2 linked regions of the Oryzias latipes genome follow. The protein of the gene in region 2 purifies or fractionates together with the protein of the main gene of each other region. This does not show direct contact. Links are inferred from orthologs where the notes say so. Each region holds a gene or a part of one and is shown on either strand. Other genes may lie near its edges.

What was found. Proteins that work in one complex are often made in the same cells at the same time.
Region 1: the proteins of clns1a (region 2) and gar1 purify together in Homo sapiens (affinity purification with mass spectrometry; 3 studies listed by BioGRID and IntAct, counting the BioPlex papers as one, with this or other methods). This does not show direct contact. The link is inferred for Oryzias latipes from reciprocal best matches to the Homo sapiens genes CLNS1A and GAR1.

What each region holds. Positions count from the first base shown.
Region 1 is NC_019868.2:3,864,248-3,868,000, reverse strand, and holds the start of gar1 (H/ACA ribonucleoprotein complex subunit 1), read left to right. Parts: upstream 1-1,447; 5' UTR 1,448-1,535; intron 1,536-1,654; exon of another isoform or gene 1,655-1,671; intron 1,672-3,753. UniProt on the Homo sapiens protein: Required for ribosome biogenesis and telomere maintenance. Part of the H/ACA small nucleolar ribonucleoprotein (H/ACA snoRNP) complex, which catalyzes pseudouridylation of rRNA.
Region 2 is NC_019871.2:4,488,310-4,492,062, reverse strand, and holds the start of clns1a (methylosome subunit pICln), read right to left. Parts: upstream 2,904-3,753; 5' UTR 2,636-2,903; coding exon 2,517-2,635; intron 1,691-2,516; coding exon 1,554-1,690; intron 1,404-1,553; coding exon 1,275-1,403; intron 1,129-1,274; coding exon 1,018-1,128; intron 1-1,017. UniProt on the Homo sapiens protein: Involved in both the assembly of spliceosomal snRNPs and the methylation of Sm proteins.

The sequences.
Region 1 (3,753 bases), on a different chromosome or scaffold from region 2:
TGGGGGAACCTCCATCTCCTCCACAGTGAGGGATCTCCTGGGCTTCCAGGCAACAGCTGCCTTGCACCTCTGAAAGCACACCTGCTTCAGCTGTTTGTGCATGTGACTATCAACGACTGGTTACAAACACAATCACACACTCTTTCCTCTCTCTCTCTCACACACACACTCTCGGAAAACAAAAGCATTCCTCCCTGACCAGCTGTTGCCATAGTTACCCGCGCAGCAGAATTTTAAAAAGCCAACAAACACTTAAACATCTCCACTATTGGAGCAGCGTCTGTCTGGCGAAACTTTTGATGAAGTCAGAGTGGTCTGTCTCTTTAAGGACGGGGCAGGTCGGCTTATGACACAAAGAAGACAAGGGTTGCCAGATCGGTCATGTTTCCGCTTCTTTGGAACTCTTTGGGCTGGACACATCTGCAGTTGGCAAAATGAACAAATTCAGGCTGTTTTTCTCAAAACTGATGTTTTGTTTTAAATTTAAAAAAATGTTTTTCTAGAAATTATGCTTAAAGAGTTTTGTTGGTTAACCAGATGTCACTAGAAAGAGCTGTAGTAAATTACTTTAGAATTACTTTAAAATATTATTCACACATAAAAAAGTATTCATCCAAATAACTATCAATATTACAGAAACAATTAACACCTAAAACAAAAAAAAATTGAACATATTGAACTGGAGGTGTAAAATTATGGAATAAGGTAAAAAAAAATAACCACAAATTATTGTGCTGATTTACATTTACAGTCAACTAAAGGTCAAAAGGAACATGGGGTTGATTTCAGTCTTTAGCTATTGTGAGGCTTATTGTGAAAAAAATTACTGATATACAAGTTTGAAATCTTTGTTTTCACACATAGCCCACACAATATAACCAATATTATTCTACTTTAAAGATTAAACTGAGTTTAGTCCTACTTCACAAATGAAAAGAAGCAGTGACAGACCTTAAAGCAGTCAAACACCTGAAAATGACATGCTGAAGTCTGATCCAGATGCAAGTTGGATTTCTGGTCATGGTTGTGCAGTCAGAGGAAAATCGTAGTGTAACTCAGCAGCAGAGGTTTCCTATTGCATTTGCTAAGTTTCTTGTTAATATAATTTTTTAAGTGTTTTTAAATAACAAATGATGCAAATACCACAAAAAAAGTTATGAATACAGCTCAAGTTACTAGGAACCGCACGAACAATTGTGTAGAAAATACACACAGAAAATGCAAAAGATTAAAAAGAGACTGATAAAAACAACAAATCACTCAAAAGGAGACGACAACTAATAGTTTATTGATTTATATATTTTTATAAAATAAATCTATCTTGATTTTGTAAATTACCATTAAAAAGTCTTAGTTTAGCTTTTTTATGTGGGGGGAAGTTTAGTCCGGGTTGTGTTTGCCTTTACTGATTTTACTGCGTAGTTTTGTCGGGAAATGATCTGATCTGGCAACCTCCTGTGCGACATCAGAGACAACCTTTACGGCAGCCTGCGCTTGCGCGTGTTGTCACGTGGACATTTCCTCTGCGATAACAGGTAAGTTCTTGCCTTTACATCTTATTTTCTTGGGTAATAGTTTTCCACGTGTCATATTATTTATCAGCAGATGAGCGGGGTGTGTAAAGAACCCACTGGAAAGCGGTGGTTTCGCGCCTAAACGGTCGTGTTTACGGTGAGCTGCTCCGGGAAGCACGTGCTCTCGCTGATCCTTTCACCGAAGCCGGTTTTTTTAGCGCGTGAGGCACCGGGGGAGCCTCAGGGCGCGTTAAAGTTCCGGACACGGTTCCACGCGTGTTTCTGGTTACTGCAACCTGTCGTGTCGCTGTGTTTGCCAGCTAAACACTCGCACTATTTGCACAGCGGACACGGGACGGGACGGTCGCACGCGGCTGAAGACTGGATTCGTTGACGGGATCACTCCGCGGTTGTAAAGCGGCGGGCGGCTATCTGTGTGCTCTATTTTGTAAGACTGTAAGGAGTAAAACATTTGTTTGCATTCTTACTGTAACGACTCGGTTTCCGCCCACTGCCATAGCAATCAGCGGGCGAGGTGCATCATGGGAGCTCATGGTTTTGGTGCGTTTGTCAGTTCAGCTTTTGGTGTTTTCTTTGTTCATTGTGTTGTTGTTTTTTTCTTTAAAAAAGTATCAAATATACGCCATGTGGTCATTGGCATATACACAGAGTCCCGATATTCAATTCAACTGAGTGAGCATGCGCGTTGAGCCTCGTTTATTAAACTAAAAACAGAATTAAACTTTCTGAAATGTTATTGATCTTCTAGAAGGGAAATTATCTTTATCATAGTTTTGTTTAAAAAAAACAGATTATAATGGCGATGTCCTGCCGTATTTTTTGAGAATGAAGTGATATTTATGCCAACACATTGCAAACAAAACTTTTTAAGTAGCAAGTGAAGGTATTAAATAGTTGCTTAAATAGTTCTTAAATTTTTTTCTGCTTTCAAAAAAAAATTTTGCGTTTTAACACGTCTCATTTCGCTGTTTCCCTATCTTTGATTTAACGTTCATAAGTCTCAGTTTAGCGTGACATATGTGCCAACAAACAGCCTGCTGATTGGTCCAGATTCTAACCAGCCGCACAACTTTGTCTTCATAAATGCGTTTCTTTTTGACACATTCCTTACCCCATAGTATCAGTCTATGGGTGGATTCAGACTCCACACAGTTGGTTCTCTTAAAGTGAACCAGAAGTTCGTTTCCCCCGACAATCTGGAACAAATTTTCAGTCTGAATAAACCCAAGTGGGCCCTGGTGCGGGACCAGGAACCGCTTGGTTCCATCTGTGGAGGTGGTCTCTCAGTTCGTTTCCAATCGGACTGAGCTTTGGTGTACTCTAAGGTTCTTCAGTCTGAATACAGTCTGTTCCCAGAGTGGAACAACGGAACCAAAAATGGCCACCGTAGCCGCTCCGTATGGGATGTAAACGGAAAAGGAAGTAACCATGACGATGAGACACAGCAACTCATTGAAATGTGATTGGATAAATGCAGGCTCATTAAAACAACTTTTAATGTGACGCACGTTGCTTCTCACTGTTTTCCCGACCATCTGCATGTCATAAAGTCTTATCAGTGACTCTTGCCGTTAGCCGCCCTACAGCCAGCCTCCACTGGACCAATGGGATTGCAAAGTGCACTAGTCTTTGACTGCCCTCGTAATTCCTGGCCAATGACTGAAGAGATCTTTAGTCACACGTTTTTTTTTTTACAAGCTTTGGTTGGTTGGAAACAGAAATGTCCGGTTGAAGGCAGTCTGACTACAGACCCAATGCAACGCTCAGGACTCAATCTGGACCAAACTAAGCAGACTCAGTCCAGACCAACTGACACCCTTCATATTTTTCAACCCAGTTCCTTACAATTCCCTCTGTTTAGACAGTTGACTGTATATGAGAACTGGACTGAGTGACTCCTCTCCCGTAGAGTTCCAAACAGGAAGTTCCCGCTGTCTCCAAGAAGCCAAATTTCCATAGACTTCTACAGAGAAATGAGCAGCTGTAACTCACTTAGGGGTAGGGTTGTGCCGATGGACGATATCATCGTCCATCGTGATGGGTGACTGACATCCCGATGGAGAGACCACCATCGTGATGCCACGCCCCCGCCACGTTGCGCGTCGACACCATAAGCCGCGGTTACATGTACAAAATATCTTGATGGGATCAATGGTCGGATTAGAATCCAACCGTGTAGATGGGCCCAGAAAAATGTTTTCAGAATATAAAAACGTTC
Region 2 (3,753 bases):
GGCGAGCATGATATCGGAGCTGTCCAGCCGTAGAGTTTAGATCCAGATTCCAGCTCAGACGAGGAAAACGAAGACGTCTATGGATCTATTTTTCTAAGTAGATGCAGCAGAAAGGAGCAGGGGGGTTGCAGAGTGCAGTTATGAGCTTTTTTTTAAATGAAAAATGAAATTTAAAGCCTTATTTTCTTAATATTTGTCCTCCAGCATGAGGAAAAAATGCTACATGAACATGTTAAAAACACCGTTTTCATCTGAATGGGTCTTTAGAAAGATTTACTTTCGGGACAATCTGGATTTTTTCCGTCCAGCATCCTGCTCTGTTGTGTTAGCCCGCCCGTCTCTCGCACGGTAAAATGCCAGCAAGCAAAAAGAAGAGGGGCTCGTTCCCAAAAAACATGGAAGGGGTTTGGATTTTCAACTTCAGACTTGAAGCAACAATTTGCAGAATGCGTTAGCAGCTCCCTAAAGCACAAACTGGTTTCAGCAGCTGAGCCAGAGTCAAACGGTGCTGCTTTCTGTGAGACGATCAAGCAGCAGCAGCTCAAAAACACAACGTTTCAGAAGCCTTACAGTCTGTATTCAGTTGCAACTTGAATTGAGGTCCACTCCCAAAGGAAATGTCAAAATAAAAGCATTTCTGCTAGCTATATTCTGTCATTTGTCTTTTTTTTTTTTAAAGAAAGTAAAGAGAGGGGAAAGAAAAAAAATCAATGTAAATCTGAAATCATATTTAGTGTGAAAAAAACAGCAGAGATTTAATTTCCAGGCCATTACAGCCACAGTATGAACTATAAAGAATTAGGGTTAATATTTGAGTTTCTTTTAGTCATCTTCAGCGTTTCACTGACCATCAGTTTCAGCATCAATCAATCACCTGAAAGTTAATATTGATCCAAAAAAATCTGATTATTTTATATATGTGAGAAAATCCTTGCATTTCTGCAAAAATGATGGGAATAAAATAAGAAAAACATTTTAAATAAAGTTTCCCCGGCTGTGTGCGTCTGTTGTCCTTACCAGCTTCCTCCACATTGTACTCCTCTCCTTCGAAGTCGTTGTCTGAGTCTTCGTCGTCGGGGTCTGGATGTAACGCCTGGCACTCGCACATGGCTGAGAACATGGACTCCACTGCGTGGAAACAGACGCAAACATTTCTAATCTTCTACTTTTTATGGCAGACGGGCGGGATCAGGGGGGGGGGGCCGATCCGTGACGGCTACGCGATCTTGATCGGTTAGCCGTCACGGATCGGGTGGCCGTTACCGCTCACTCACATGAAGCTTTGTCTCTGGGAACAAATCGAATTTCTGTGATCACTTCCTCTTCGTCACCGTTGCTGCTGTCACTACCATCATCATCTTCTTCTTCTGCTGCTTTCTCTGTCATCTCAGCTTCACCCTCACCTACAAGAAAACGAACGGATGAAATTGTTGAATGAATGAAGAAAAACCAAAGCAGAAAACCCAGATCTGCTTTCAGGAGATTTGATTTGATTTGAAATGGTTTATTTCAAGCAATCAAATAAGCTTAGAGATGACTGAAGGTTTTCTTACCGCCTAGTTTTCCGTTGACCATGACGTAGAGATGCTCCTCGGGGTAGGCGCTGACATCCCTGGAGATGGCGTGCAGACTGATGGAGGGGTATTCCAGGGAGAAGCCCATCCCTGAGCCGTCGAACCACGACAGGCGCCTGAGACGGACAAAGACACAGATCAGAGGAGGCCGATTCCAACATTAAAAACCAGAAAAAGAGAATCAAGTCTGACGTCGAGTTAGCTGAAAGTGTTGCAGCGCCACGTAACCATAAAGATCTTTATTATAGGCTGCATTTTGACTCACTGACTCCTTTCTATTGAATTATTTATCCATTAACCTGAGAAATAAAATATATTCATTTAAAAATGCACTACCAAACAATAATGAATGATCAGAGGAGTTATGTTGAACCTCAAAGTACATCTTATTAAGATTTCCTGAGCAAATAATCAAGTTAAATTTAATTTCACTAAAAAAAGAAATAACAATAATCACAGGAATTAACTACAGGGACAAATCTAATCTATTATTTTTTATTCAAAGTTATTAAAATGAAAAGATTTAGTTAAACATAGTATTTACACTTCATGTATAGAGTCCATCCAGTGTTAACCTTTAAAATACAAAATTAATATGAAAAAACGGAAAGTTACTCTTTAAAGGTCTTGTGATCAGTTGAGACTAAAGTTAAAGACAAACAAATCAATGGGGATAAATCAATAAACCTATTTTAATTCAATACTTTGACAGCAGAAAATGAACCACGGAACTGTCACGTAAACATGACTTCGATTTAACGTTTTATTTTGAAAAGCAGGGCAATACCGGAAGCTCTTCCTGGGGTCTGAACTAGTGCTAACAAGCTGCAGTTTATCATCGAACATATTATGATGGATACATTTCGGGGTGAATGAAATGTGCATAAAGATTTGCCTCCAACGTGTAACGACCAAAACACGCGCGCCACGTGGATCACTTACGTTTCGGCGACGTACAACGTGCCACAGCCGAGCTGCTGCCCGCTCAGCACCGCAGTGGTGTTGGCTTCCTCGTGGCGCACTCCCTCGGTAGGAGGACGGAGGTTTCTCACCAGAACCATCGTCCGTTAGACCGTTAACGTGGGCCCGAACAGAACAGAACTGCTTTGGAACCCAAAAGGAAGAGCCGTGACCCACTTCCGGTAACAGAGCGGCTTAGTTTAACCGCAGTAAGCCTCGTTTCAGGACAAAACTCGAGTCACGACAAGGGAATTCTGGGGGGGGAAATTACAACAGAAAACGTAAAATCCGAAACAGCCAGACAGCGAGCGCTTGTTGATACTGAAATATCGCGGTTTCTTCCTTACGTCAACGAATCACGTGACCAGCGTGCCTCCTCAAGCCATCTGTGGCATATTTTTTACACTGCCCTCTAGTGGCTGTTTAGCTGATTACACCCATTCCGAACTTTTTTATTTTTAATTTTTTTAAACAGTGACGCCCCCCCCCCAAAAAGAAATATTTTCTTATTTAAAAAACACAAGCACAACCTTTTGACTATATAAATATATATACGTATATATACACAGTCAGGACCATAAATATTTGGACAGAGAGATATTATTTCTAATTTTGTTTCTGTACATTACCACGGTGAATTTTAAATAAAACAACTCAGATGTCATTGAAGTGCAGACTTTCAGCTTTTATTCCATGGGTTGAATAAAAAGATTGCATCAAAATGTGAAAAACTATCCTCTGTCACTAATCATTCAAAGAAGTCACGTTTTTTCTGAGAGAAAACCTTTTGTGGCCTTCGGTTCACCTAAAGAGCCAAATCCCAGTTTAAAGCCTGGGATTCCTTAGATTTCTAAGGTACCCTTTTTTTTAGCATTTCAAAAGATGATGATGAGATAAACAGGGTGGGGGGTCTCACACACTTACCAATTTATCAACTCAGATTTAAAAAAAAAAACTCAAATTTTGTAAATTATCTTTAATGTATTCTTTCTAATTGGTTTACTTTACACAGTCTAAACATTTCTAAGACTCTACAAGTCACATCAGCAACTTTTTAGCAAATAAAACTCAACAGACATCATGTGACTCAGTGTGACACGGCTGACAAATGAGATTTGAAAATGTTCCAGGTGTTCATATTTGAGCACAATGAAGGGTCATCGGTGAGTTTGACCCACAGAGACAGAGAGGAATCATGACCGGTTCTCACCTGTCAGAA